Linked DNA regions of Rhinolophus ferrumequinum. The protein of the gene in region 1 purifies or fractionates together with the protein of each later gene. This does not show direct contact. Links are inferred from orthologs where the notes say so. Each region holds a gene or a part of one and is shown on either strand. Other genes may lie near its edges. The genes, in order: POLR2G, CTDP1, SCAF1 and RPRD2.

Region 1 (7,845 bases):
TATTTTCCAAGATGGCCCTGACAAGATCTGGCTTCCCACATGATCTTTTTAAAATATGACATCGTTGCTCCTTTTATAGGGTAAGGTCTCTCGCCTTGAGTCTGGGAGGGATTGCGACCTCGAGGGAGATGCTACGTATGTGACTTCTGAGGCTCAATCATAAAAGGGGATACAGCTTATGCTTGGTCCTCTTGGGACACTTGATCTTAGAACCCAGCGATGATGCTGGGAGGAAGCCCAGGCCATGCAAAGAGGCCACATGTAAGTGTTTCAACCACAGCCACAGCTAGGCTTCCAGCTAGTGTGCTTCCCTGAAAAGAAGACGTAGCCGGACCATCAGCTCTAATGCGTCTTTTGGAGCAAAAATTAATATAAGACCTGGTCTTATTTTAATACAAAACTGGGTATAACATAATATAATATAATTAATATAATATAATTAATATAATACCGGGTCTTATATTAATTTTTACTCCAAAAGACACATTAGAGCTGCTGGTCCAGCTAGGTCTCTGTCATGCAGGGAGTCACGCAGGGTCTCTGGTCCTGCTCCCCACATAAGAACGCAGGATATAGTAAGGCCAAAAAGGCACACCCACAGAGCCATAAGTAGGGGAGTCATATCACTATAGTCTCACTGGCAGCTGGGTTGGAGACACAGGAGGCAGGAGCCACAGAATCCGCAATCCACACTCCACTGTGCTAACTGTAATCCGCTCCTGCTCGCTCAGCCACCATCCTCTTGCTAGCCCCCATTTTCTGCTAGCGTAGCCACAGCAGTTATATTACTGGCCAATGGCTCACTAGTTACAGCTGACGGCCAACTAGACACAGCTGATGGCCATCCAATCACAGTTGATGGCCATTTGCTACCTGAGTGAGCACCTTTCCACGTGAGGCCGAGGGCCTACAAACTGCGCTCCAGGCTCTGTCCCCACACTCCACCTCTACAGGGTGTCGCCTCACAATCTGTGCGACAAGCGTCTTCCGCGAGGGGCCCTGTGCGAGGAGCCTGGAGGTGAATGCAATATCCTGGACACAGCCAGGCTCTCTGGGCACAGCCAGGGTTTCTCAGGGCACCACCAGTCCTTCTGGGCACAGCCAGACTTCCTGGGCTTCTTAGGGTACCACCAGCCTCCGTGGGCACAGCGAGGGCCTCTCAGGGCACCGCCACTCTCTGGGCACAGCCCGACTTCCTGGGCATAGCCAGGGCCTCTCAGGGTACCACCACTCTGGGCACAGCCTGACTTCCTGGGCATAGCCAGGGCCTCTCAGGGCACTGCCACTCTCTCTGGGCACAGCCAGACTTCCTGGACTCAGCCAGGGCTCTCAGGGCACTGCCACTCTCTCCAGGCCTCACAGGTTACCGTGCAGGAACAACAGCGACCCACAGTCAAGGTGCTTACATATTCTCGATAGTGGCCAGTCAAGACACAAACGCAAACATCCGCCAGTTCCACTACCGGGTGGTATGTTCCCAAGCAAACAGTCAAGCGGTCCATTAAATTAGGGATGGAAGGCAATTCCCCATAGTACATAGTCATTCGCCAGGGCTGTTGTCATGTGGGACGGCCTGTGGGGTCTCAGCTCGTACTCCCCACACAAGAGCTCAGGACATGGTGAGGTCAGAAAGGAACACCCACGGAGCCACAGACAGGGTAGCCACACCACCATGCTCTCGCTGGCAGCTGGGCCAGAGACACAGGAAGCAGGAGCCAAACCATCTGCAACCCGCCATCCGCTTTTCTGCCAACCATCCGACCCCACTTGCTAGCTGCAATCTGCCGTCCTAACTGCAATCCGCGCTTGCTAGCTTAGCCACCATCTTCTTGCTAGCCCCCATTTTCTGCTAGCGTAGCCACAGCAGTTATATTAGTGGCCAATAGCTCACTGGTTACAGCTGACGGCCAACTAGCCACAGCTGATGGCCATCCGATCACAGTTGATGGCCATTTACTATCTGAGCCAGCACCTTTCCATGTGAGGCTGAGAACCTGGAAACTGCTCTGTGGGGCTCTGTCCCCACAGATGTCCTGGGGGTGAGGGACGACCTTGACCTCACCCTCAGCTCCCATGGAGGACTCAGCAAGCGTTTCCTCCTGGAATTACAAGGCCTGCATCCAGGCTGCGTCAGCAAGCACTTCCCAGCCCACAGGGCCGCAAGGACCTTCGCTTTCTCCAGCCTATGCTGGTTGGGGAACCGTCCACGTCTTTTCACTCCTCCATGGGGGTCCAGCTCTCCAGCATCTGCTCCTCCTGGTCTTCCTGAGACTGAGTGTTCATTTGCACAAACTGCTCCGCCGCCCTTCGGAGAGCATTGGCCAGCACCGTACCCTGCTCACTGCGCCATGTGTCATGCAGGGCAGCCTGCGGGGTCTCCGGTCCTGCTCCCCATATAAGAACACAGCGTACGGTGAGGCCAAAAAGGAACACCCACAGAGTCATAAGTAGGGGAGTCATATCACTATAGTCTCACTGGCGGCGGGGTTGGAGACACAGGAGGCAGGAGCCACAGAATCCTCAATCCACACTCCGCCACACTAACTGCAATCCGCTCCTGCTCGCTCAGCCACCGTCTTCTTACTAGCCCCCATTTTCTGCTAGTGTAGCCACAGCAGTTATATTACTGGCCAATGGCTCACTGGTTATAGCTGATGGCCATTTGTCATACAGGGCGGCTTGTGAGGTCTCAGCTTCTGCTCCCCACATAAGAACGCAGGATGTGGCTAGGCCAAAAAGGAACACCCACGGAGCCATAGGTAGGGGAGTCATACCACTATAGTCTCACTGGAGGCTAGATTCACATGATGTGCGACCTGCTGTGCGCTTTTCTGCCAACTGACCGAGTCCCCTTGACTTGACTCACCAACCAGCGCAGCCGCGGCAGTTATATCAGTGGCCAATTGGCTAACCAGCCACAGCTGACGGCCAACCAGCCACAGCCAACGGCCATCTACTACCCGAGCCAGCACCTTTCCACATGAGGCCGAGAGCCTGGAAATTGCTCTCTTGGGGCTCTGTCCCCACACCATCCAATCAGAGTTGATGACCATTTACTACCCAAATGAGCACCTTTCCACGTGAGGGCGAGAGCCTGGAAACTGCACTCCTGGCTCTGTCCTCACAGTCTCTTTTTCGGGGAAACACGGTAACAACCAGCTTCAATTTGCCAGCCATGTGATTGAGCCAAGATTGGAAGTGGATCCTCCAGTCCCTTGTTGAACTGCCTCACCTGATGTCTCATGGATCAGGAGTAAGCCTTCCCTACTGAGCCTTGCCCAAATTGTAGATTTGTGAGCTCAATAAATTATTGTCGTTGTTTTAAGCCACTAAGTTTGGCGGTGATTTATTGTCCAGCAAAAGATAACTGAAACAATTCTCCAACAAACTTTCTTTGTAATCCAAATCTCAAGAGAGCTGATTATTCTCCATTGCTACTTTCCCTTTCTATTCTAGTTTGTCTCTGATCCTGAAGCTTAGCAAGCAAAAGGATCAGGGCTAGGGGAGAGTTTATCATGGCCAACCCATGCCTGGGGAGCTCAAAAAGATAGTAATATGTTCATTATTAGAATGAGGTTCAATCAACCCATCCTTGTTAAACTCCATTATTTGCAGAGTGCTCTGTTAGGTGCTAGAGATTGACTCAGTGATGTGAATAGATAGTGAGCATCTGTTGTGTGCCAGGTAGTGTTCTAGGTATTATGAATATAGAGGAACACCTGCCCTTCTTGAGGGGAAACAGGCAATATACACATATCTAAATGAATGAGTCCAAATATGACTAAGTTCAAGGAAGAAAATGAAACAAGGCAATACAATAAAGGAATGACTGGGGTGTGGCTACTTGAGTCAGGGTAGTCATGGAAGGCTTCTTGGTGGTGGTGATACTGAGCTTATACCTGAAGGATGAGGAGCCCCCTTCCGCCCCCAGCAGGTGGGTATCAGAGCTAAGAGCATTTTAGGCAGGAGAAATAGTAAGTGTGTAGGTCCTGAGGTGGGAGAGGAGGGCAATGTGGCTGGAGTGGAGAAAGCAAAAGGAAGAGAGGCAGAAAAAGGAGTTGGCTGGATCTGGTCCCTGCCTGGTAGGTCACAGTGATTTTATTCTAGTGCTCTGGGTAGCCATTGGGTTCTAAGTCGGGGGGTGACATGATTTGATTTCAGTTTTGAAACCATCACTCTTGGCAAATATGCACATGAAAAGATGTTCAACGTCATTAGTCATTACGGAAATGAAAACTAAAACCACAATGAGATACTACTACACAGTCATTAGGATAGTTAAATAAACAAAAACAAATAAACAAATGAACAAACTGCTGACAATACCAAGGGCTAGTGAGGATATCAGAGCAACTGGAACTCTTATACCTACATATACAATTATATAATATTTACACCACACAGACAAAATAGGTATAAATAACCTCAAGAGTATTGACAATGGCAAACTGTAGTAAAATGATTAGGAAGTGATCAGTTTTAAGTATTTATTACTAAGAATTCTGACTCCAATTACAAGGTGCTCCCCGCCACCCCCAACCCCTCCATCCAAGCAATTCTGACACCAGCTGGGTGTCCTACAATTTAACTCAATTTTGATACCATCTACCTGGAGTGGTAAATGAATGCACTCTGCTAAAGAGCTTTATTTATGCCACCTTTCATTAATTAATTAATTCCGTTTAAAAGTACTTATTGAGCATGTATTCTGGGCCAGGGACTGTTAATTTAAGAGAGCGGATTTTGATCGCTGGTGGACGGGGTGGAGGGCCGAGCTTCCTGGATTCCCCGCCCACCACAGTGAGGCCCAATCGGGTCCGTGGAAAGGGCGGAGTCCCGCCCTCTTAGCTCCCTCTGGTGGGGAAGCGGGGTTGCAGCGAAAGATTGTGTTTCCGGTTGAGCTGGAGATACCGCTTCCCGCGAAGGTGTGGACTCGGCTGCTCTCCTTCCTTCTCCGGGAAGATGTTCTACCATGTGAGCAGGGCACGGGGTGGCGGCGAGGGCAGGGTCGAGAGAGGACGAAGCGGGGCGCCGGGAAGAGTTGCCGCATCTTCCTGTTGCGCCTTGCCCGGTCTCCATGCCACTTTCCCCACAGATATCCCTGGAGCACGAGATCCTGCTGCACCCGCGCTACTTCGGCCCCAACCTGCTCAACACGGTGAAACAGAAGCTCTTTACGGAGGTAGAGGGGACCTGCACCGGCAAGTGAGTGCCGTGCTCTCTGTTCCACCTGATCTATGCATACAAGGCAACCCCTTCCCAACTCCTACTCATTCTGCAAGGTCCTGCCAATTACTCTGGGGAACCCTCTCACACACTCGTAGGCGCCCCAAGCAGTCTGTTGCTTCCTGTTTTGGGTTCCCATGGCGCCCTCTGCAAAGCTGGATCTCAAGATTTACTTCCCTCAGCTTAGATTGGTCATTCACTTACTCTGCACACGTTTCTAAAGCTCCTGCTGTGTGCCAGGGCCTGTGTTGGGCCCTGGGAACGATATAGAATGAGGCCAGCCGTCATGGAGCCCACAGTCCAATCATTGTTCCTGTGTCTGCTCTGTCTGTGATTCTCCTGGTTTTCTCTATCTCCATGCCCAGGGACTGGCATGACACATCTCTGGGCTACGCACAGAGGTCGCTCACACTGGTGTTAATGAGCTGGGATGAGACCAGGGCTGCAGACTACTTGGGCCGCCATCATCAGAATAACCTGTGGTATCTCTTGAACGTGAAATTTCCTGAGGCTCATCCCCTCCCCGCAGAATCAGGACTCTGGGGACGGGCCTGGGAATCTGCATTTTAATAAGTTCTTCCCAGGTGATTCTGAGGATCTCAAAGACTGAGGTCTCTTAGCTCAAGGACTGCAGCCTTATTGAACATGTATTGTGAAATTAGGAGAGCAGTGTTGGGCGTTATATATACTGATCATCCTGTCTTCCTTCTTGGTCGTTAGGCTCTCTAGCGTCAGGGATGCCATCTGCTTCCTCTTTGTACTGGCCCGCGACCCCCAGGTTCACTGAGTCTTGTTGCAGATGGCTTTATTTATTTATTTACTTATTTTTTATTGGGGAATAGTATGTACTTCCGAGACTTTTCCAAGTCAAGTTGTCCTTTGAATCTTAGTGGTGGAGGGCGCAGCTCACACAGGTCCGGTTGCTGTTGTTAGTTGCAGGGGGCGCAGCCCACCATCCCTTGCGGGAGTCGAGGAGTCAAACCAGTAACCTTGTGGTTGAGAGCCCGCGCTCCAACCACCTGAGCCATCTGGCCACCCGGGAGCTGAGCGGCAGCTCATTGACTTCATTCTAGTTGCGGAGGGCGCAGCTCGCTGGCCCGTGTGGGAATCCAACCGGCTGCCCCGTTGCCCAGAGCTCGCGCTCTAACCAACTGAGCTGCCCTCCCCCCCAGGCTGCCCCTGCAGATGGTTTTAGAAGCTCTTCCACATACAGTCCCTTTTGTTCTCATCCTCCTCACAGGTATGGCTTTGTAATTGCTGTCACCACCATTGACAATATTGGTGCTGGTGTGATCCAGCCAGGCCGAGGTTTTGTCCTTTATCCAGTGAAGTACAAGGCCATTGTTTTCCGGCCCTTTAAGGGGGAAGTCGTGGACGCTGTTGTCACTCAGGTCAACAAGGTGAGACAACAGATAGAGGAGGCAGGGGGGTGATCTCTCAGAAGATGGGGGATAGGTCCCAACTCCACTTGCTAAGTCTATGTCCTTTGGCTAAGTCATTTTTTTGTGCTTCAGTTCCCTCACCTGTCAAAAGGTGTAATAATTTCGCCCTGCCTCACTCAGGGCATGTAAGTCCATATTAATAGTCATAACAATAGTAGCCTCTGTTGATTGAGTAGTTATTGCAGGCCAGGTCATGTATAAAGCCTTACAGCGACTCTATAAGGTGGGTGCTTTTATCCTTTTTTGTAGAAGCTTAAACTGAGAGAAGTTAAGTCTAGTGGCCGGTGTCACATGACCAACAAGTGTTCAAATCCTGGACTGACAGGATTTGACAGGAGTCCCAGGTCTCAGCTCTTTACTACTTCACCATATTTGCTAAACTTAAAATGAAACTTGAAAAATGGGAAATGAAAACAAATGCTATAATTCAGAGTGGTTTCAAACATGGAGAAAATAATTAGAAATCAGATACAGGTGGGAAGCTTAGAAGACTTTGGGTAACAAAAGAAAGAGCAAGGGTCACTCATTTTCCTTCTAGGTTGGACTCTTCACAGAAATTGGACCTATGTCCTGCTTCATCTCTCGACATGTAAGTCTGGGCATTGTGGGTGGGGCCAAGGAGAGACACTCATTCCTGACCATCTACTGGAGCATCCATTTAAAGTGCTGACCCATTATCATTTTCCTTTCAAGTCCATCCCATCAGAGATGGAGTTTGATCCTAACTCCAACCCACCATGTTACAAGACAGTGGATGAGGTGAGTGGGTAGGAAGAAGTCAGTGAGAGGGAGGAGGGAACTAGCTGCTCTGAGGGAGAATATTGGCTGGCGGGTGTCTGAGTATACTGTTCCCATCTCCCAGGACATTGTGATTCAGCAGGACGATGAGATCCGCTTGAAGATTGTGGGGACCCGTGTGGATAAGAATGACATCGTGAGTCTCTTGCCTGCCTCCCTGACTGTACCAGGCAGAGCTAGGAGCTGTTCATTTCTTACCACCCAGAGTTCCTGGATGTTCTGTGCTCCTCTTCTGCCAGGAAGAGGGGATGGGTGGGCAGAAGGCCTGGGGCTGGGGCTTAGAGGATAGTTCTGTGCTGGCTTAGGCTTCATTTCCTTTTTACCTTCCCTCCTACAGTTTGCTATTGGCTCCCTGATGGATGATTACTTGGGTGAGTGC
Region 2 (7,314 bases), on another chromosome or scaffold:
CCAAGAGAGAAAAGGTAATCAGAAAAGACATGAGAGCAATGTCCTCTCTGAGTGTGCTGTTTGCTTCATCCCTGCAGATACTGACAGACGGGTTCAGGTACCCAGAGGGTCTCAGTACCTCTTCTGTCAACCCTCCAGAGAGTATCACCGCACCTGAAAGGGAGTGGTGCCCCGAGTCCAAAAATACCTCGCTTTAGCCAAGGAGACCAACCCGGATGTCGAGTCAGTCACCAATAAATGTTAACTTTTCTGCTTGGTCCTTGAAGAAAATCCATAGGCAAATCATGAATGAGCTTTGCAAACAAGTTATTTCCCCCAAAATACACAAGTCCTGCTTGTATACCAAACTGTCCTGCTATGTCTGTCTTCACTAGCTTTCGTGTCTGCTGTAATGGGGAGGTCTGAGGGCCCACAGCAGAAAGGGAAGTGTCGGGGCTGGGCGCCCTGAACTCTGCTAGGGAGCGGTCACTGTTAAACACTAGGCTGGGTGGGCCCCACCTCCCTCTTCCTTGAACATATCAGGGATCTGTGCTGACCGTGAAGTGTCTGAGGATAGGGGCGGACTGGGAAAAGGAACTCAGCGCATACGGCTCTTTGTCTCTAAATGCCATTCTCCATCACAAGGAAACAGCACTTCTTGGCCTAATGGCTGGTTCCAGGGCGGGGACTGCGAGAGCTAGAGCCCGAATACTACTGCGTCAGAAAGCAGGGTGGTGCTCCGACACGGGGCCCTGTCGGAGGAGGCAGCTTGAAGGGGCTCCCACTGACCAACGGTGGGATAATCTGAACATGAAGGCAAATAATAGTAACATAAGTCCTCACTGCGAAACTGTACAGTAGAAAGCCAGCATTCCTAAGTTCCTAGAACTGTCCACTGTGGAGAGTGAGCCCCGCCCACTGTGGCCAGGATGCCTCCTGCTGATGGCAGTGACAACGAACAACTCTGCCAGGGGTGCCGGGCTCTGCGCGGGAGCTGCAATGCTCGCTCACACCTACATTCCAGGAGAAACGCTGTCAGTCACCAAATTCTCAAAGAGCCTGTGATGGGCCCCTGCAGTGGGGCACCCCAAGGCTCAAACACTGAAACACTGAAAGCAGCAGCGACTCACAGCTGGGAACCTGTCATCACACTGGGTATGCAGCAGACTGGGAGACAATGGACTGACTGGTCACTCGGATGTGCTTGGCCAGCTTGATGCGCTCGCAGCACTACATGTGGAGCTTCCCACCGACGAGCTTGTCTGGGCCCCGGGGGCCTTCTCTGTACAACCAGAGGGACAGAGCGGCACAGAGAAGCCTCTCCACTTCTGGGGTTTTCTACACGGTGATGCACCAGCACTGGGCTTCGTCTCCGTCATTCACAGGCTGGTGCGTTTACAGGCTCATTAGCGCCCAAGCGAAGGTCAGGTAACAGGTGACTTCAAAGTAATGATGACAGCATGCCAGTGTGTCACCCAGAGCACAGTGCCCCTCCCTCCTACAGGAAGCCAGGCACACAGCTCCAGTGAGGGTGCAGTTCCCAGGTGGCATCCATCCCACCCACCCGCATCCACGGGGCAGGCGTGGGCGCCTGAGCTGACGGCCAGGGACCTTCCTCCAAGGGATGAGAGGGAGAGTGGACGAGGGTGAGGGTCCCGGGCTGGGATGGAGCACGGTCCTGTCCCATCCTGCCCTGGTCATCAGAGTCCGGGAGGGAGGAGATACTCAACAGGTGGACGGTGAGAGCAGGCCCCACGGAGAGGAGCCGAGACAGGGCAGGCAGCACCACCGGAGGAGCGCCAGGGTGGACAGGGGCCTGAGCACCTGGCACACTCCGGTCGCCGCCGAGGAAGCTGCGCACCGGCCACGACAGCAGGGCGCAGGAATGTCCCCCTGCCCTGGCTCCCTGTTGCCGACAATGAAACAACACACCTGTGCCCACACTTCAAGCCGATCTCAAGAGCACCACCCCGGTAAACTCAGACAGAAAGTATGCGCGGAGACAGGTTCACACACTTCAGAAGAGGAAGCAAAGTCCTTCATGAGAAAACATAAGCACCCACAGCTAGAGCCCGTGGCAGGAGGGGCACTACCACTCTGTCACCGGCTGCACCCCTTCCCGAACTACGCTGCACACACCGCCGGGTTTTACGACCGCGTCTCCCGAGGCTGCCGACACCTAAGGCAGAGGACAGCCCCAACAGCTTGTTTATACTGCGATGACAAGCGCGGAGCGTGCTCTTCTTCCAGTACTCGCCGTCGCACCGAGTTTTCCTAACTTACAAATGCCGAGTGTTGGGGAGAGACAGCGATTACAGAAGAGAAACGAACACAACCATTTCCTACACAAAAATCACAAGCGGTGACTTGTGCAGCCTCAGAAAAGCACGCAGCCGCGCAGCCGCGGGGGGTGGGGGTGTTCCTACCTTCCAAAGTTCTCCCCGAGCGCAGCCCCTTCAGCCGCAGCCCCTGAGACCCTTTCCTACCTAGTGTCCGGGCCGGTCCCCTTTCCTGGCCCAGAGAACCCTCCCGGCGCTCCCTCCCTCCCCTCCCTGTTGCTGCCCTCTCCCCCGACCTACTCACCCGGGAGCCACCACCTGGCCCGGGTGCGCGCACAGCTCCCGCACCACGCCGGCGCGCTCCGACCTCAGCCTGCGCTCGGCGCGCACGCAGCCACCCGAGCCGGCGCGAGCAGGAGCAGGTCCGGAGGGCTGCGCGGAGGCGGCGGCCTCGCACACGGCCAGCACCGAGCCAATGCGCACGGTTGTGCCCGCCGCCACCCTCCATTCGAGCAGACGCAGCGGCCCGGGGCCCGGGCAGCGCACCTCGGCCACGGCCGCCGGCGGGACGCCCTCGGCGGGAACGCGGCCGGCGGGCGGCGCCTCCATCCCGGCCAGCGGGGTCGCTGCGGAGATGCGGCAGACGGGTGCTCAGGCAACGGTGCCCATCGCCGGCGGGCGGGCGACCCCGGCCCAGGCGGAGGCGGTGGCTGCGCTGCGATTCCCACTCCTACACCGGCTTCCACCCGCCGCCCTGGTCCGCGCCGACTTCCGGGACAACGCATGACGTCACGTGACGTCGCGTGCGTGCGTGCGCCGTGCGGCCCGCGTGTAAACAAGCCCGCACTGTCCTCGAGAGGCGCTGCGCCAGCCGCAGGTACCATAGGCGCCATAGTACCAAACCCGTGGGGCTGGGTCCGGCGGGAACAGTGTCCCTACGCCGTTTACCCTATGAGTACAGGTGACCGGTATGCAACGCTTGCTAATGTCCCACAACTCCGTTTATGCGCTGAGGCCCGGGCGTTGTTAAATTATGAGTCCCGCCATGCACCGCGCACTGCCATACCCCGTATCCCCGTCAGGCTCTGCGAGTCCCGGCATACAACGCGGGCCGCCGTCCGACATTCCCCTCGCGCGCTAAGGCGGTCGTCATGAGAACTACGAGTCCCGGCATGCAACTCCGGACGCTGACCGGCAGTCCCATCACGTGTTGAGACCCGGTGTCATTAGTCTGAGTCTTGGTTTGCAAAGCGGGCGTCGTGGAGCTGCGGTCCTGGCATGCCAGTGCCCAGGCAGGGGTCAGAGGGCGATGGACGTCCGGCCCTGCACCTCGCGGCAGGTCATGTGTTTGGCGGTGTTCTCGGACTCGGGCCCTGCCTCTCGCCCTCCGAGCCGCACTCCTGCGGAGGCCGCGCGTGGGGATACCTCGGCGCTCTCGCCGCTTTTGAGTGCGGGATAATTTATGGAAATGGTCGTTCTTGGTTCCTTGAAGGGCATTCTTCACAACCATTAAAGACCTGCAATTCCCCTCTTGCCCCCCGCCCCCGGGAAATGTGGACGGAGCACCTGCCACAGCGACAGAGCCTCAGACGCAGAAAGCAGAAACTGACAGAGTGACAGGGAGGCAGACAAGTGACAGTGGCAGTTGTGCTCTTCAATACCCAACGTCAACGTCGGGTGGAACAACGAGGTGCAAGATCGGAAAGGACAGCGGGCTGGAACAACTGTGAATCCTCAAAGCAGCACATGCTCCTTCTCTTTACCTCCGTGCGGAACTTGCTCCAGGACAGGTTGTGTGCTAGGACATAAAACAATCCTCAGAAAGTGTAAAAGGACTGACACCATACCAAGCTTTTTCTCTGGGCACCATGACATTAAGTGAGAAACCAACATGGGAAATTTACAGTTGGTTGGATGTTAAACAGTAGTCATAAGTAACCAATGTATCGAAGGAAATCAGACCAGCAAAATGTTTATGATTGAAAGTAAACAGAAATATACTACAACTTGTGTGCTACAGCTAATGCAATGCTTAGAAATACGTGGCTAAAATATCTAATATATTAAAGATTAAGAACAAATATTAATAATCTAGCCTTTGTCCGTAAGAAATCAGAAAGCGAAACCCAAAACAAACAGATAAGAAATGATTAAAGCAGAAATAAAACAAATAAACAGTAGAGGAAATCTACAAAGCCAAAAGATTAAAAAGACTCTTTGGTTCTTTGAAAAGATTTTTAAAAAATTGACAAAATTTTAGCTGGATTGATCAGGAATAAAAGAGAGAATTACCAAAATTAGGAATGAAAGAAAATAGCACTACCGACCTCACAAAAAATAAAAAAGATTCTAAGGGAATAATATGAACAACTGTATGCCAACAAGTTAGATAACTTAGGTGAAATGCATAAAAAATTCCTAGAAAAACAAACATACCGAAATTGAAGAAATAGAAAATAGGAGTAGGCCTACAACACGTAAATAGAACTAACCTCACTTATTTTCTCTGAGTGTTAAAAAAATGCCTCATGGACTTCAGAGCTTCCGAAGAGGGTGTTCAACGTCAATACTGTTTTCTGCCCACCTGTGTTACCTGGGGCTTTACCTCTGGTCCTCCCATACAGCCTTCTCCAGAAGCTCCTTTCCAAGCCCAGGTCGTCAGGCCTGGCAGGTGTTAAAGGAAGGCACACTGCCCAGCTAGATGGAGCTATTGCTGATTTTTTCTCTGGTTATCCAAGAAGCAAGTCCACCTCGCTTAAAGGAGCTTCGTTTTCTGGAATTAATACGGTCTAGCCCTTCTGGTGAAAGTATATTTTCTGTTAAAGTGATTTTGACCCTATTCCTTAGAAAACAGCACCACCATTTTCATGTTTTTGCCATGAGGTGGTTGGCGCTTCCCCACCTCTGTATGCTTGAGCCACACGGTGACTGTAATGTCCTATCTTACCTACCTTGCCATGGTGGCATTTCATTTTTTTGTGATGCTTGAATCCTTTTCCTGATAAAAGGAGGGGACCTCAGCCCCTGTCACCACCCCCAGGTCACTCGAGCTGTCACAAAAACATACTTTTTTCAGATTTAGCGGTAGTTGCAAGTTCTCAGCTGCTACCCTCCCGAAACTTACCCTGAACAGTCATGGAAGCCTCAGGAGGCCATTTTGCTGTGCTCCAAAAAGCCTTCTTGCCACCTCTCGAGTGCTGTGCCAAGGAGCGTCTCAGGACTCACTCCTTGGTCTCCCTCCCTCCCTTTTGCACTGGCTCACCAGGCCCAGTGCCCTCACCAGAACTTACACAAAAACATAAGATACAGGTATCAGGATTGTTTGTATTATTAGTATGCCACACCTCGTGCATAGAAGAAGCACAGACAGAGAACACCTCAACCTTTCTCCTTTGGGCACACACGTTGAAGGGCTGATCACCTCAATACAATCAAGAATATTGATTTTGTCAGGGCTGTGCTGGAGTCTTAGGTTTGGCTCAGTCCAGTTTTGGCTTCAAATATCTCGAAAGCAAGACTTCTTGTGTGCAATAGCAGGCCCTCTTGCTGGTGGGAATTTATTCATTCATAGTTATCTCAAACTGTACATTTCACACTGTCTCGAAAGCCTGGCCACAACCCCACCCCTACATGCTTCCCCAGCACTAAGCAAGTGTCCTGGGAGGAAAAGCAGCTGTGTATGTGGGGCTCCTTTGTGTCCAGCCCATCACACAAGCCAACACAGAGGACTTATCTCCCCTTTGGCCAAATCTCTCCATCTGTCAAGCTCGAGCTCAGACTCTGCCCATACTCAGCGAATGGTTGAGAGAAGAAAAGGGCCACTGATGGCAGTTTATCCGGGGACAGGTTTTCTCTCTCAGGGATTTTCTTTCTTTTCATCCTCTTATTCTCCAGAGTGCCTTGATGTCTTCTAAAACACGATATCTGCAATTATTCATTTTCCCGTGTTATTGCAGCAGTGACTACCTGAGGAAGAAGACGGTGAGTGGGGTTTTGACACGAGGTAAAGAGGAAATGGGCATTCCGGCCATGAGGACCATCATGGTTGAGGTTCTGTGCGTTCCCTTAATAAGAGTCCTTTGTGGCAAAACCCCAAGGAACAGTACTGGGATGTTTGAAAAAGGACACATACCACGGTCCCATCCCTCAAAATTCTGACTTAATTAGTTTGGGGTCGGATCTGAGTATCGGGAGTTTTGCTTACCGGGTTATTTGAATGTGTAGCAAGGTAGGCAGTGGGTAGTCATGAAAAGTTTTTGAGCAGATGTATGAGCTTATTTAATCTGTGCTTAAGACAATGCTGGCAGCTAAGGGCTGAGAGAACCTGGAGATAAAGACCCCACTTCTGAGGTTGTCTGATCAGAGGGGAGTGTTTGCAGGGAGAGCTGCTGAGTTACAGCCACCAGGTTTTGTCACTTGTTTGGCAGGTCAGTGAGAAGGAATGAAAAATGGCTCTGGAAGAGGACACATTAACAGCAGAGAAACAGCAGGGAACGGCATATTGGGAAGAGAGCTTGTGAGTGCCCTTGGGGTCCTTACGTCCGAGTTTCCTGAGCCTGTGATAGAATTGATGGAGGAATATTTTTCCTCTGAGTCCCCAAACGATGTTGGATCTGCAGGCAGTTTCTGGGTGTGGGCCAGGATCGTGTCTCGTGAGACCGAAGAATGGAAACACGGACCCAGGAGAAGTAAAGAGATTTTTTTTTTAATTAATTTTTTTTATTGGGGAAGGGGAACAGGACTTTATTGGGGAACAGCGTGTACTTCCAGGACTTTTTTCCAAGTCAAGTTGTCCTTTCAGTCTTAGTTGTGGAGGGCGCAGCTCAGCTCCAGGTCCAGTTGCCGTTTTCTAGTTGCAGGGGGCACAGCCCACCATCCCTTGTGGGAGTCGAACCGGCAACCTTGTGGTTGAGAGGACGCGCTCCAACCAACTGAGCCATCTGGGAGGCAGCTCAGCTCAAGCTGCCTGCCATGTTCAATCTTAGTTGTAGGGGGCGGAGCCCACCATCCCTTGCGGGACTCGAGGAATTAAACTGGCAACCTTGTGGTTGGGAGC
Region 3 (7,872 bases), on another chromosome or scaffold:
TACTGCAGTGTAAATAGGGAAAAAAACACAAAAATAAAAAGAGTTTGTCTAAATGGCACGATTATCACTATTACATCTAATGACAGCTGTCTCGCACACAAAGCCAAGGCCGCCGCCTGCCCAGCTCTGCCCTCGTCCCACATACCTGTTTTGCCCGTCCTCCAGGCCCTGAGACGGGGCAGCAGGCTGGGCACCGGCAGAGGGATCGGATCCCTGTCCCCGATTCGGACCTCAGCCACCAGCTCCAGCATGTCCTCGCTTCTGCAAGACAGAAGGGGTGAGTGAGCCTCAGGGGTGCTCCCAGCTCCCAAACCAGGGGCTCTCCCAGTCCAGCTACCCAGCAACTCACTCGCCAGGCCGCAGGTCCAGGTGGCTGGGAACCCAGGTGTCTGGAGGATCCAGGACGCTCACCAACCCTGCCAGGAAGCTGTCCGCAGCCATGTCCAGCACCTGGAATAGGGAGGAGGAGCTCCACCCTGTCCCTCATCATGTGAGGACCCACAAATCCCATTTCCCCAACCCCTAACCTCCTAAGAAAATGCAGGGATCCAACCAATTCCCTCGGCCTGACTGCCTCCAGGACCCAGAGCCCGGCCCCCAAGCCCTCCAACACTGCTCCTGATCAGCACCCCAGACTCAGGCGTCTATGAGTGCCCAGCCCCATTTCCCCATCTCCGGGATCCACGCCTCAATGCCCTTCCTCCCCTGGCTCCCTCCTTACTCACAGTAGCTGTGTCAGTTCCTCCTGATTCCTGGGAACGGGACTCTGACCGTGGGCTCTGGCAGCGCCTCCATCGAAGGCCATGACACCGAGAGCCATCTAGAGAGAGATTTGCATGGGGGACTGAGGACAGGGACCTAGGTGGAGAAACCCTGTGGGGCAGAGAAAAAAGGAGCCTGCCCTAGCTCTTGATGAGGGAACCACGCTCCTGCCTGCTCTGCCAGCCTCCATCCACTCCTAAGTCGGGTCCCAGACGGACTTCCTCGATGCCCTTCTGAGGCTCCAGCTCCCTCACCCCTCTGTCCTCCTAGCTGCCCTCAGGATGAAGTCCTGACAAGTCAGCTCGACATTCGAGCCAGGCTGTGAGCCGGTCCCCACAAACCTCTCCTGTGTCCCCTCACGCCTGCTGCCCGCCAGCCCCTAAGAACCTCAGTTCAGTCCTGTAGTGCACCCCTGTGCTCGTCTCTGCCTATCAGGCCTTCTTTTTTACCAGACAACTCTAACACGTCCTTAAGAGATGCAGTTCACCTGTCGCCCCTTCTAGGAAGCCTTCCTGGATTCTGGCCACTAACCTAGCTGGGCCTCCTGCCGTCTCACGGTACCACAGGCTACCTCTGTGCCGTGATCGTGTCTCTCTCCACCAGACTGTAAGCCCCTCCAAGGCAGCCACGGGGGGTTTGACCCATTTTTGGCTCCCATGCCAGCACAAGAGTGGCACCCAGGAGGCCTCAGAAAAATGTATATGAATGAAATTGGGATAAAGAATGCAGAGATGGGTCAGGGAGCTAAGAGGAACCAGAACCCATCATACCTTTATCATTCGGCAGATCCCCCTGCAGGGAACTTCCCACAGCCTGCTGAATGGCCCGCTAGAGAAAAGATGGGGGTGAAGGGGGTGGAAAGAAAGGGTGGCAGTCAGGGGACTCGTGCAAATGGTCACAAGCTCTACTCCTGGGAGACAGGCATTCCAGACACCCTACAGCCAAACTCAAACCCTTCAGAGGAGCCAAGAGTGCAGGCTCCCAGCCCCGCCTCCCCCGAAGGCCCAGGAGTCGGGCCCTGGAATCCAGACTCCCAGCCCCTCCTCCCTTGGCCCCAGATGTCTAGCAGCCTCACCAGGATAAAGGCAGTAGGAGAAAGCGTAGGGTCTCTGTCCGGGGGACCATCGCCCCGATCTTCACCCGACTCCTCTGTTTTCCCTCGAGACTCATCTTCTTCCTCCATGGTCACCTGGAAGTTGAGGGGGTGAGTTTGGAGTTCAGACAAACAGGGCTGTGGGGTGGGGTGTGGGGTGTGGAGGGGACAGAAGCAGAGGACGAACACAAAGACCTCAAAGGCCTCCACCATTGCCTCAATCAGCATCCTCTTCAGTGTCCCTCCTCTCCGCCACTCATCCCGGTCCTTGGGAGGGTACTGGGTCCAATGCAGATACCAGAGGGACTAGAGCGATTCTCTCCCCTGGTCTGGATTTCAGCTGCCTCCTCTGTTGGAAGGGAGGCCCTCCCAGCCTATTTCAACACCCCACCCCCCAGTTCCCACCGTTTCCCCCACAACCAAACTTAAGACCTCACTGGCCCACTTTCATGGGAGCCAACACAATGCCAAGATTTTTTTCTGTTGAGTTGTGATTTCAAATAGTGTGCTCCATAGTCTCATACACCTAGCTTTCCCAAACTGAGGTATGCGCCAGTGTGCTGGGTGTATCTCAAATATGACACAACTTCCTAAAGCATCAATCTTCCTCGATGGTGAGGAACGAGAAACAATTTATTTATATATACAATAGAAAGTGGACCCATGATAACGTGATTTACAAAACCAACATGCCACTTTTGAAATGAAAACACTAATTTCAGAAAGGTGTGCTGCTCACCAGAACCCCTGGGGACATCTGCCTATGTCCTGTCTGCCCATTGTGTGGAAGCATGGCTAAAGCCTTTACGATATCACAAAAATTCATAGATTATACTAAAGTTGAAAGGTCATCCTTCAGATTGGGGGTTGTCTTAATTGGGCTTCAAACAACAGGAATATTTCAGCTGTGGGATTGCCAGCGACCATCAAATCTGCTACTCTGAAACAATATCCAGTCTCAAAGTTTCTAGAAAGCTTCAAATCCCTAACCCCCAACTCAGTGTGCTTATCTGTATGTGGCAGAATTGGAGTATCTACCTCAGAGGAAGGCTGCGAGAAATTGAAAGGAGACACTTCTGCCACAGTGTTAGCATAACCCAGTACTCAATACAGAGTAATAATAATAATCGTTATTAGTCTTTAGGGCCCAGGTTTCCCCCCCCGTCTCCCCAACTTCCCCAGCTGTATACCTGCAAAGAAAAGTCCTCTGTCCTGGTCTCCCTTGGACCAGATGTTCAAGCTTTGCCAAAGTTCCTCCATGCAGCCTCCCAGCTCTCTAAGAGCCTGAGGTTCCTTCCCTAACTCGCATTGACACCCACCCTGATAAGGCCCTAAGGACAGTTCCAGCCCTGGAGCTGCTCACCAGCACCTGGGGGCAGGGTGGGGGTAGAAAGCGCAAATTACAGTGACTGTCACATAACAGAAGCTTAACCAAGGTCTGACTACAAACACACAGATCCCAAACCCTCAGCAGGTATGAAGATGCTCCCTTGCCCACGCAGACATGCCCCAGGCTCTGCAGATACACCCAAGGCTCCTTGGGTCTTTTCCATATGAGAAGGCCCTGCAGACATTGCTAGATCTCTCTAGATCAGTCATTCTCAAACTACAGAGTCTGACAGCAGTATATTGCTTCACAAATAGCTTGTTATAAAAAGTAAATCAGATGCTGAAAATTATTCATAATACATCGCAAGTAGTAAGTGGAAATATCAATTAATGGGACATGGGTATTAACTTAAATACATGTCGGTGGGTACTGGGCCTCAATGAAAAATGTATATTTTCTTGCTATAGATCAAGGTCAAAAGAGCTTAAAAAGCATTGTACTAGATGATTCTATAAACTTTCCCAGACTAATGTAAGCTAATTCGAACTCTTGCCATAACACCAGGGCAACACAAAATTTTAAAATATTTTTCATCTCAATTACCTTCTAAAGTGCAAATACACTTGAGCTCAGCAAATTTTCCAATACTCTCCTTTGTCTTATTCTCCATCTGATTATATGGCCCCAAACGGCATTCGAATTTGCTGCAGGCACACTCAAAGCCACCTAGATGATTTCAGGTCCTTTTAACTGCCCCAGCCCCCTGTCACCCAGATTAAACACCTCCCAGATGATGGAGACCTCTCAGCACATCTCAATATTTGCCTCCCTCCCTTGGTGAGCACATCCCACCTCTAAAAGACTTTCTAACCCAGGAAGTTCTTTCAGGCCCGCTAAACGGCCCCGGACCCAGGTAGCTGAGTGGCATCCTCACGTCAGCCCATGTAGACACTTCCCAGCCCCAACAAACATACCCCAGGCGCTATAGATGGCTCTGCAGAAACTCCTCAGCTCTTGCAAACCTCCTTCACCCCTGGGATATATCTCAAGATCTCAGGTTGGCCCCAGAACCCTATGAACAGACCCTAGCCTCCGGTCAACCCATAAAGACGATCAACAGTGCCTACAGAGATGACCCAAGCCGGCTATATGATGGAGGGCAGGCGCCAGCTTCGGTCCAGACCCTGTGGACGTTCCCAGTTCTCCCGGGGATGCTCCGTAGGTGGCCCCCGGCACCCAGAGACACGTCCCAGGGCCTTGAGAAGGCCCCCCGTTCGGCGCCAGGTTCCGCCGCCGCTGCCGGGCCAGAGGCCACCCCGCTAAGTCCTCCAGACCCTGTGGCGTGTTGGAGAGGACCCCAGGACTACTAGCGACCCGACTCCGCCCCGCCCACCCCAATAGGCCTGAGCCCCGCGGTCCGGACCACCGCCGCCATCTTACCCCGCCGCTCGGGCTGCGGCTCCGGCCCCGGCGCGGGGCGGGGCGGGCTGGGGCGGGGGGTTCGCTAGCGGAGGGAGGAGAGGGGCGGAGCTAAAACGCCGCCGAGCTTGCCGGGACTTCAAGTACCGAGCACGGTGCCGTGAAGGCTGGTGGGAAGGCTCCGGACTCAGTTTCCCAGAAGTCAACGGGCCACACGGGCAGGGGTGCGCCGGGAGGCGTAGTCCGCGCGTCGCCTCCGTCACGCGGGCGCAGCAAGGAGGTGAGAGGTGAAGTGGGCGTGGTTGCAGTAGCCCGCGATGAGGCCCCACAATTCCATGCGTACGCGCGGAAAGAGCTGCGGAACAGGACGTGACGTAAAGAGCACTCAGCCGGACAGATGCAAGGGAATTGTAGTTCCGCGGAGTAAGTAGTGGAAAAAAAAAGCTGTCCTGCCTGGGAATTGTCCCGCCCACATTGTGGGGATCCCAGAATCCCGATCCCCCCCAGTCCCCTCTAAATTTAGAACCAAGAAGCCCTGCCCCACAGCCTCCTTCATTTAGGTCCGAAAAGTCCAAATTCCGATTCCTCTCACTTGGCAGAGGAGTCCAGACTCCCATTTCCCTCCTCCTTCCTTATATCCAGGAGTTGGGCCCTCAGGCTTTTCCTCCCTCAGACCATTTCTGGTCTTAAGCTCGTACTTTACATGAACACAAGTGTTCGGGTTCCCCACACCAATTCCCTCGAGATCCAGAATTCTGGGTTCCCAGAGCCTCGAACCCCGGGACCCAAGAATCTGGACTTCCAGCTCCCTCCTTTACGAAACGGGTAGTCCTAATAGTAAGGACCCCCAGATCTCCTCCCCTCCGGGATACGGAACTCCAGGTCTCCAGACCAGTTCTCTCCTACGGAGTTTCCTTCTTCAAAGATCCAGAAATCCTGGCTCTAGGCCCTTCATGACCCAGGCGTCCCGGCTTGGGCGAGCTGGCTCATGGATTAGGAATGCAGTGATCTCACGGCCCCTCCCTGCCCCGTTACCCGGCTGTCCCCCTCCAGGGCCCCAACTCCCCTCCCAGTCTGTCTTCCGCTTGGCTGGGACTGCGGCAACCGGAAGCCTGGGTCCCTTAGCGGGCGGAGACTCCAACATCCAGCCCAAACGCCCGGGTCGGCAGTTTGGCTCAGATCCCAGGACGGAGGTGGAGCTTCCCCTCAGGACCTGCTCACTTCCTCGGAGCGCGCCTATATACGGCCGCGCGCGAGTCGGCGAGCCCCGCCTACTAGAACAAGGCCTTGGGGAAAGTGCCCTGAGAAGCTGCTTCACAGGATTCTTCATTTGCATATCCCCTCCCCGAATAATCTTCCCGACCTGTCTGCCGAAAGAATGAGCTCTTATTAGCATAGCCACGCCCCCAAACGGCCCGCCTGCCCAGAGCGCGTGGAGCAGCTCTGGGTAAGCACAGTTCTCTCATTAGCATATCCCCACCCCTTTCGGAATTCCCCTTAGTGGCGAACGTCGTTCCCCTGCCTTTATTAGCATAGCTCCTCCTTTTCCCTGGCCTTACCTCCTCAAGTGTTCCGAGACTTGTGCCCTTCTTGCCGGAGCTCATGATTATGCAGTAGCCTTATTAGCGTGGCCCGCCCCTAGGCCCCGCCCGGCTCCCCCCAGGCGGTAGCGGCGGCGGCGGCAGCGGTGGCGACATGAGCAGCGGGGCGGCGTCCGGGACGGGGCGGGGGCGGCCCCGGGGCGGGGGGCCGGGACCTGGGGACCCCCCACCCAGCGAGACACACAAGCTGGTGGTCGTGGGCGGCGGCGGCGTGGGCAAGAGTGCGCTGACCATCCAGTTCATCCAGGTAGTGGGCCCTCACCCGGGGGGTGTCCCCGGGACCCAGAACGTAGCCCTTGGGGGGGATCCCTGAGACCCCGATTTCCCCCTCCATCCATCACTGAGACCCTCCTATGAGGCCCTCTAATCTTAAAAATTCCCCTCAGATCGTGACCCTGAGCGCCCCAGGACCTCCACCCCCTACATGAGGGACCTTCCTCCTATACTCATCCTGAGACCCACCGTCCCTCCTGCCAGAACCCCCCTTCCCTGCTGACCTGACCCAGATCACCTCCTGGGAGCATCCTAAATCCATGTCACCACATTCTGACCTTAAACACTCTCGTGTGTCCGCCCGTAGGTGCCACTTTCCCTCACCCTGAGTCCCATCTCCCCCAAATCCTAGGCTCCAGCTTCCCTTCTGAGCCACCCAGAGCCTAACTTAGGAGAAAGCCTGTGCCCAAAGCCCTTGAGATGATTCCAGTCTGGATGCTTAGCTCCTTCAGAGACCTCCCTGAATCTAGAAATTATGCCCAGACTGTTCCTGAGGCCAATCTGGGACCACTCTAAAAGAGGCACCCTCAGACCCTAGGAGAGTTCAAATAGATCCTGCCAGTTGGCTCTTCCAGAGAACTGTAAGACCCCCAAGTCTTGTGGCTCCCCCATCCTACCAGACCCAGACCTCTACCCTCCCCCAAGGAAAACCAACCACTCCTCCATCTTGAGTTCTCCTCCATTCCAACTCTCTGAGCCCCTCTCAGAAACTCTGGTTAGCCCCCAAATCTCCATGGAAGAAGCCCCCAGATTCTTGATATCCCCAGAAAGATCCACTCCTTGGGAGTGTCTCTGACCCCATAAATGCCTGTCAGGGTCTCTAAGACTCTAGACACACCTGACCTTCTCCTGAGGTGCTCTGAATACACACCCCTAATTCCCCCAGGGCCTGGTCCCTACACCCTCCCTCCAGCACAAGCCTCAACAAGCACACCTCCAGAAGACTGGATGCAGCCCTCAGACCCCCAACTACCATATCTCCCCTTCTCCACTTAAAATCCACCCCTGCCCAGGAAACCTCCACCCCATTCCCAAGGGGAACACCCTCCCACCTCAGAGAAACCCTAGAAAGGTGTCTGCTCCTGAGACGCTACTGCAGAGGCCCTTGGGTCCCAGACCCATTAAGAGACCCCAGCCAGGCCTGCATGGCAGCCCTTGTCTGTGTAGAGAAAGGCCCCCCGTCCCTAGGCCCCTGTCCCTAGGGGCAGACCTGAAGCTGTCCAAAGGCCTGGCTGGAGGCGGGCGGGACGCAGGAAGGGAGGGGCCCAGCCTTAGGGCGGGGCAGTTTCTCCACAGTTGGATTGGAATTGGGACCTTCCCCTGGGAGGAGACACTAAAAGCCGCCCAAGGAGGGGGGGGGGGAAGGAGGAGGGGGAAAAAAGAGGGAAGAGAAA
Region 4 (6,983 bases), on another chromosome or scaffold:
GTATTCTTGCAAATGATGTAACCATACAGGTAAAGCACCAGAGCCCAAAGGTAGAAAATGTTAAATGCTCGCATAATTTAGTAAAAAATGTTTTAAAACAGGAAGGAGACTATGTTTAAGGAAAACATGTCCTCAGGCTCACATGAACACTGCTTGCTCCCACTGGTGGACCAAGCGCATTAAAGGAGTAATCTTGAGAACGTTCTTTTACAAAGTTAAATGTGGCCACTGTCATCTGATATCATCTGATATGGTGAAGCCAAATCCTAACTCCACCACTTTACTGTGTAATCTTAAGCAATTTAGGTAATATCCCGAGCCTTAGTTTCCCCATCTCTATACCAATGATTTAAAAATCTATTTCTGAGGGTTATTTTCAGATAGGAGATATATTATAAATGACAGTAAAGGGCTGGGTACATAGCAGGTACTTAATATGTAAGGGTCTTTGAGGACTGTTATCATACTTGATTTTATATATTCTAATTTTACCTCTTGAAAAGAAAGTAACTTTGATCTGCTATTGGTAAATAAAGGTAATCCGTCTTGGTTCTACAACCCTTTGAGCATTTATTATTCAAAGAGCCACAAAACATCTCTCCCAACAATAACTTTACATATACAAATGGTTGAAAGCTTGGGGCCTATGATTTTGCAAGTTTTATCCATCTGTTCCCTAAAAGGTAAACACAAATCAAAACACTTCAGAGGCCATGGCAGAAGTGGAATAAGAACAACTGGATGACGGGTATCACTGATGACAAGCCATGGTCAGGGAGCAAAAGAGCTAAAATTCAAATACAGAAGCAACAAAAGACCTAAAATTCAAAAATCCCTGAGAAGAAAGTTAACCCTCTCTTCTCAGCAGGAAGCAACAGTGAATTCTCCACACTTCCTCCTAGAAGATTTGAGATCTTTGGCACACCATCCACGTTTCCTGACAGTTTACTAGACCTCTTTTCTGTAGTAAAGCAGCAAAGTGGAAAAACTGCCCCACGAAGGCAAAAAAGTAATAACTGGGGGGAGGGGGCGTACTATATATTCAAAAAGCTCATTTCTTGATTTCCTGTTTTGATTATTACCTATGAAACCAAACTCAATTCCTTAAAAAGGTATTTCAAGTGATTAAAAAGTAGTCGGATGTGGGTTTTTTTTTCATTTTAAGGTATTATTGACAATACTTGACTACATACAGTAGTTTCCGGTCATTATCAAGAAGCCTGTATTTCATTGCAGCAAACACAGGTAACAGGGAAACCTCCCAGGTGGTCGCCTCAGCTCTATGTGGAGCACACGTTGTTTAACATTCACCCAGATAAACCCTTCTTATTACACATCCCAAGTTTCAGGTCAGTAGAAAACAGAGTGGTCCAACATATTCCAGCGAAATAGTTGGATTTACTAGTGGTGCTTAGATCAGAGCTTGTCTAGCATCAGGAAAACCAGAAATCATTAACACCTCACGGCCTATAGAAGAAACGAACGGACGCGACAATTTCCGTGAAGGTTCAGTAAAGTCAACGGTACCTTACGAGGCTTTGAAAAGACATAATGTGTAAATCGCTATAGATCTGGGGCCAACGGCCCAAGGTCACACCAAGTCAGTGGCTACATATCCACGAAATGCTAAGCTTCCCGCAATTCAGGAAAACCCTGGCTAGGAATGGAGGAGTCTGGGTCTGGGAACACTCGGGTCAAAGCTTTACTGTGAACAACCCCAGCCAAATGCAGTGGCTCCATGGGAAAACCTCAAGCGATTCGGGCGGTATTTCCTTCCATTTCCCCGGTCTTCCCTTCCCCTAGGCACCCCCAACACTCACATCTCCGGAGCCACTTCATCCAATGGTAGACGATAGTAGTGTGGTGTTTCTTGTTCTCTATACACCAAGACGACAGGCCTTGAATAGATTCCATGGTGTTAGTTACCGACTGGAATTTTCGATCCAACGAGGACTCCAGAGCCCCTGCCGAAGAGGCCGACGAGGAGGAGGCCTTACTGCTGCCTCCGCCGCCGCCGGCCGCCATCTTCCCGGTTTGCACAAGCGCTGCTGCTCCTCTGGCGGCGGCGGCGGCGGCGGCGGCGGCGGCGGCGGCGGCAGCGGCGCCAGCGGCGGCGGCGGCGGGAGCGGGCAAAACAATCACTGCGAGTGCGTGAAAGCCGTAGGTGGGGAAGGAGGCCGGGGGGTGGGGGTGGTGCACGCGCTAGGCTCTTCTGGAGGTAGGATCGGCAGGCCAGCTGCTAGGCACGCTGGCGGCTCCAGCACGCTGCAAGGAGGGGCTGCGGGTTTCGAAGGTTTATCAGAATGGTTCAAGGGGTTGTGTGTAAACTAGTCAGTAATCAGGCAAGAATTACGCAGAAAACAGGTCCTTGCAAAGCCTTTCAAAACGGCTGGCCCCAAACTAATGGTTTTATACTCTTGCGCTCTTTACGCTAAGGCCCTTTCCCACTCCTATCCCCACACTCCTGTTAGGGCGGCTGTGAATATCTTAAATTTAATACTACCCGAGTGCCCCTTCGATTGCAGAAATCTTTTTCTCTCCTTTAGATCCTCTAGTACAGAAAAGGCCCAAGGCTACCTAGTCAGGATTTTTTTTTTTGCAACGCAATAGCAGCAAAGGAACAGCAACAGTATCGCGCACGCGCCGCTTGGCCCCGCCCCCCGTTTCCTTCTCAACCTAGAGAGCAGGGGGAGGTGTCATGGCGGGGCAATCTGACCAATCAAGGGAGAAGAAGGAGAAGCGCGCGCAGGAGCCCGCAAACCCCTAGAGCCGAGGAGGCGCTTCAATTACTTGTGCGCCTGCGCAGCACCTCCGCGTGTAGCGGACTGGGAGGAAAAGCGGGGAGGGGAGGGTAAGGGGACTGGTCAAACTAAGGAGAGGTTGGGGGAGGGGGTTACACCGCCGCCCCGCCTTTTGCTTCCCAGCGAGGTCTCTCACTTGGGGCTATCCAGATCACATAACAAGGCCGGGAAACTCCCACCGCTCAGCGGCCACTATTACTTTCTGGCGGCTGCCGCCGCCGCCGCCGCTGCTGACTCCTCGGGGCACCGACGCTCGACCAAGTGGCTGGCAGCCATCTTGCAGTGCCTCTGACAGGTGCGCATGCGCCAGCTCCAGCGAGCCATTCACTACGCAGACTCCCAGACGAAGCAACATTTCACAGTCCCCTTGGACCATACCATTCATAGCCGCTTGACTATTTGGATTATATGAAGAGGAAGTAAATTAAGTGAAACGAAAATTTCCCCGTAAAATTTTGGAGACGAGTAAAAGATAAAAGACAGGATATGGTCTCACCTTCGGCACAATCTCAGAATTGTACAATACATTATAATTTACAAGAGCCTTAAGTAATATTGATTAGCATCATTCTATCACATCTGTCTAGGTAAATCCTCTGGGCAGATTTGGAGGCTTCCGTGTCCAACTGAACACATGTAATTATTATATTTCAATTCTTTTATGTCACCCCAGTAGACTCACTTTTCTTGAGGCAGAGAATCTGTTTTTTCGAGCTCATATCTAGTATTAATTCAACAAAAAGTTGTTGAACGTGTTGAACCAAGCACTCACTGTTCTACCTGTTGGATAGAGTAACAGGAAAACGGACAAAAATTCCTTCCCTCTAGGGCTTAGTGTCAGGAGACCATAACCAAATACATGTCAGGGAGTAGTAAGTTCTATTAAGAAGTATGAAGCAGAGTAAGGGAGATGGGCGGTATCGTGTGGGTGATCCTAGATGGGCATGGGAATGGTGGTTTAATGAATCGGAAGGGCTTTTGGAAGGAAGTGACACTTTATCTTGTTAAACAAAAAATTTTGAACTTCATGGCTGAAAGCCTTTTTAAAAGAAAGAGTTTATTAGCCCATTGCTGGTGAAAAAAGAAGACAGGTTTTGGGGCGTGGAGTCTAAACCACCAGCAACATAGCTAGGTAGGAAGGATAACATGTCCAAGTCCCTGAGTTTTGCAGGCATTTTTACACATGGAGTAGGGAGGAGAAATTTATAAGCCATTCTGAAAGAATTTACATTAGCTATAGACAAAGGGGATAGGCCCAAGAGAGTCCATAAAACTCATGCATAAACAAGAAACAGAGACCCCTGGGGTTCAGTAGCAGCCTAGCTATTCTCTTTTTTTTTAGATAATCTGGAAATGGCCACCTGGAAGTTAATTTAATAATTCCAAAACACACTAAGGCAGTGTAAGCAGTCTTTTGTTGGTTTTGCACTGCCGTGGTTACCTGATTAACCCCTTTTTGTCTCTTCCTTCCACTCTCTGGCCTGCTATAATTTAATTTAGGACTTCTCAGAATTTTCTCCTTGTCAATCTGAATGTCGAGAACAAGGTAACCAAGCAGATACCGGAGAGGAGGAGGAGAACATGCTGGCAGAAGGAACGGCAAGTGCAGAGGCTCTTAAAACAGAATGTCTTGACATATTAAAGGAAGAACAAGGAGGCCAGTGTGGCTGGAGAAGAGTAAGAGAGGGGACAAGTGGTACAGTATGAGGTCTGAGAAGTGAAGGGAGAGAGTTCGTGTGGAACCTTCCAAAGCCACTGTAAGGATGTTGGCTTTGAAATGAGATGGGAAGTCCTTTTAAGCAGAGAAGTTACATGGCAATCTTTTTAAATGATCACATTGGTTGCTATGTTGAAAATAGACTTCGGAGCCACCAGTTAAGGAGGCTGTTGGAATAATCCAGGCAAGGAAATGATGGTGATCTGTACCAGAGTGCAAAAAAGATAATGAGAAGTGGTGTCAGATCCTGGATCTATTTTGAGGGAAGAGCCTAAAAGCATGTTCATGGATTTAAGGGGAGTGTGGGAGAAACAAGTCTGACACCAAGGCTTTTGACCTGAGCAATTCTCAAAGCCTTTTTTTCCTTATCATTGTCCCTAAAGATTCATTTTAGATATTTTTTCCTAATCCCCTCAACCTCTGTGAAATTTTAATGCTACAGATATGCTGTGTATCTGTATATGTATAATACAATGTGTATAGCTGTGCTTTCTGCAAGAGTAAACATGAAGTTTACTCTTTTTTTTTTTTTTTTAAAGGAGGGCACAGCTCAGAGTGGCCCATGCGGGGATCGAACCGGCAACCTTGGTGCTACTAGCACCGTGCTCTAACCAACTGAGCTAACTGGCCACCCAGACCTTACTCTTTATATTCAATGCAGTTAAGAATGACTAAAATCTTTAAGTTAAATATTTTAAATGTTAAAACTATTAATATTTAACAACTTTATAACTGTATTTGCTGAGTAAACTTTCCTTACATAAATTGTAATTTCTTACATATGCAAATTACAACTTACATAAACATATAACAGCAATGTAATCATTTTTTAAAAAATTATTCAAAACTATTATATTTCCACAACAGCAACAACAACAAATAAACAATCCAATTAAAAAATGCACAGACGGGGGCCAGCCCGGTGGCTCAGGCAGTTGGAGCTCCATTCTGCTAACGCCGAAGGCTGCCGGTTCGATTCCCACATGGGCCAGTGGGCTCTCAACCACAAGGTTGCCAGTTCAATTCTTCGACTCCCGCAAGGGATGGTGGGCTGTACCCCCTGCAACTAACAACGGCAACTAGACCTGGAGCTGAGCTGCGCCCTCCACAACTAAGATTGAAAGGACAACAACTTGACTTAGAAAAAGTCCTGGAAGTCCTGGAACACACTGTTCCCCAATAAAGTCCTGTTTAAAAGAAAAATGCACAGAGGACCTAAACAGACACTTCTTCAAAGAAGACATATAAATGGCCAACAGATACGTGAAAAGATGCTCAACTTCACTAGCTCTTCAGGAAATGCAAATCAAAACCACAAGGAGACACCATCTCACACCTGTTAGAATGGCTATTATCAATAAGACAAGAAATAACAAGTGTTGGAGAGGATGTGGAGAAAAAAGAACCCACCTACACCGCAGGGGAATTTAAACTGGTACAGCCACTATGGAAAACAGTATGGAGGTTCCTCAAAAAATTAAGAATAGCGCTACCAGATGACCTAGCAATTCCTCTTCTGGGCATCTAACCCAAAATTTTGAAAACATTTATTCATAGAGATATATGTACCCCTATGTTCATTGCAATATTAGTCACAATAGCCAAGACATGGAAACAACCTAAGTTTTCTACAATGAATGATTGGATAAGGAAGATGTGGTACATATGTTTAAGGGAATACTACTCAGCCATAAGAAAGGATGAAATACTGCCATTTGCCACAACATGGATGGATCTTGAGAATATCATGCTAAGGGGGAAAAAAGTCAGACGGAAAAGGACAAGAACCATACGATTTTACTCACATATGGGATAAAAAATTGAAAGCAACAAACCCACACACAAAAACTCAGACACAGACAACAGTATGGTGGTTACCAGAGGGGAGGTGGAAGGAGGATGATGAAGGTAAAGGGGGTCAAATATGTGGTAATGGAAGGAGACTAGACTTTGGGTGGTGAGCACACAGTACAACATACTATATTATAGAATTGTACACTTGAAACATATAATGTTATTAACTAATGTCATCTCAATACATTTAATTTAAAAAACTTATTTTCCAGAAAAAGTAAAACAATTGAAAATATATTAAAATTTTAGTGAACTTTTAACTTTTATTTGGCATGAGAAAATTACTAGCTGCTAGATATTTATTTAGCTATTGTTGACATTTTTTCTTCTCGGCATTTGATATAGCTAAAGATTAATTGAGTAACTTGTAGAATTAAATAATAAAATATAAGCTATTTTTATTTGCTTCTCAAAGCCCAAGTCAGATGCAAAGCACTGAGAATCATAACATTCACAAGGTAGTAAATGACAGCCAATAGTCATGTGTAGGCCACTTCCTGTGTTATGACTTCAAAGTAGGGCAAATGAGGGAGAGAAAGTTCTCCAATCACAGCTACCTATTTCTTATAGTTTTGTAGCACTGGCCTTGCATACATTTTGTGTATCATCTG

Evidence for each region.
Region 2: the proteins of POLR2G (region 1) and CTDP1 purify together in Homo sapiens (affinity purification with mass spectrometry; 4 studies listed by BioGRID and IntAct, counting the BioPlex papers as one, with this or other methods). This does not show direct contact. The link is inferred for Rhinolophus ferrumequinum from reciprocal best matches to the Homo sapiens genes POLR2G and CTDP1.
Region 3: the proteins of POLR2G (region 1) and SCAF1 purify together in Homo sapiens (affinity purification with mass spectrometry; 3 studies listed by BioGRID and IntAct, counting the BioPlex papers as one, with this or other methods). This does not show direct contact. The link is inferred for Rhinolophus ferrumequinum from reciprocal best matches to the Homo sapiens genes POLR2G and SCAF1.
Region 4: the proteins of POLR2G (region 1) and RPRD2 purify together in Homo sapiens (affinity purification with mass spectrometry; 3 studies listed by BioGRID and IntAct, counting the BioPlex papers as one, with this or other methods). This does not show direct contact. The link is inferred for Rhinolophus ferrumequinum from reciprocal best matches to the Homo sapiens genes POLR2G and RPRD2.

Annotation. Positions count from the first base shown.
Region 1 is NC_046294.1:8,066,136-8,073,980, reverse strand, and holds the start of POLR2G (DNA-directed RNA polymerase II subunit RPB7), read left to right. Parts: upstream 1-4,837; 5' UTR 4,838-4,962; coding exon 4,963-4,974; intron 4,975-5,095; coding exon 5,096-5,205; intron 5,206-6,466; coding exon 6,467-6,626; intron 6,627-7,206; coding exon 7,207-7,257; intron 7,258-7,361; coding exon 7,362-7,427; intron 7,428-7,530; coding exon 7,531-7,602; intron 7,603-7,803; coding exon 7,804-7,837; intron 7,838-7,845. UniProt on the Homo sapiens protein: Core component of RNA polymerase II (Pol II), a DNA-dependent RNA polymerase which synthesizes mRNA precursors and many functional non-coding RNAs using the four ribonucleoside triphosphates as substrates.
Region 2 is NC_046302.1:60,190,671-60,197,984, reverse strand, and holds the start of CTDP1 (RNA polymerase II subunit A C-terminal domain phosphatase), read right to left. Parts: upstream 2,868-7,314; coding exon 2,563-2,867; intron 1-2,562. UniProt on the Homo sapiens protein: Processively dephosphorylates 'Ser-2' and 'Ser-5' of the heptad repeats YSPTSPS in the C-terminal domain of the largest RNA polymerase II subunit. This promotes the activity of RNA polymerase II.
Region 3 is NC_046298.1:44,727,408-44,735,279, reverse strand, and holds the start of SCAF1 (splicing factor, arginine/serine-rich 19), read right to left. Parts: upstream 3,001-7,872; 5' UTR 2,084-3,000; coding exon 2,051-2,083; intron 1,952-2,050; coding exon 1,838-1,951; intron 1,591-1,837; coding exon 1,533-1,590; intron 821-1,532; coding exon 726-820; intron 451-725; coding exon 350-450; intron 262-349; coding exon 146-261; intron 1-145. Other genes in the region: RRAS (ras-related protein R-Ras), read left to right, coding at 6,300-6,452.
Region 4 is NC_046305.1:50,692,008-50,698,990, reverse strand, and holds the start of RPRD2 (regulation of nuclear pre-mRNA domain-containing protein 2), read right to left. Parts: upstream 3,007-6,983; 5' UTR 2,026-3,006; coding exon 1,821-2,025; intron 1-1,820.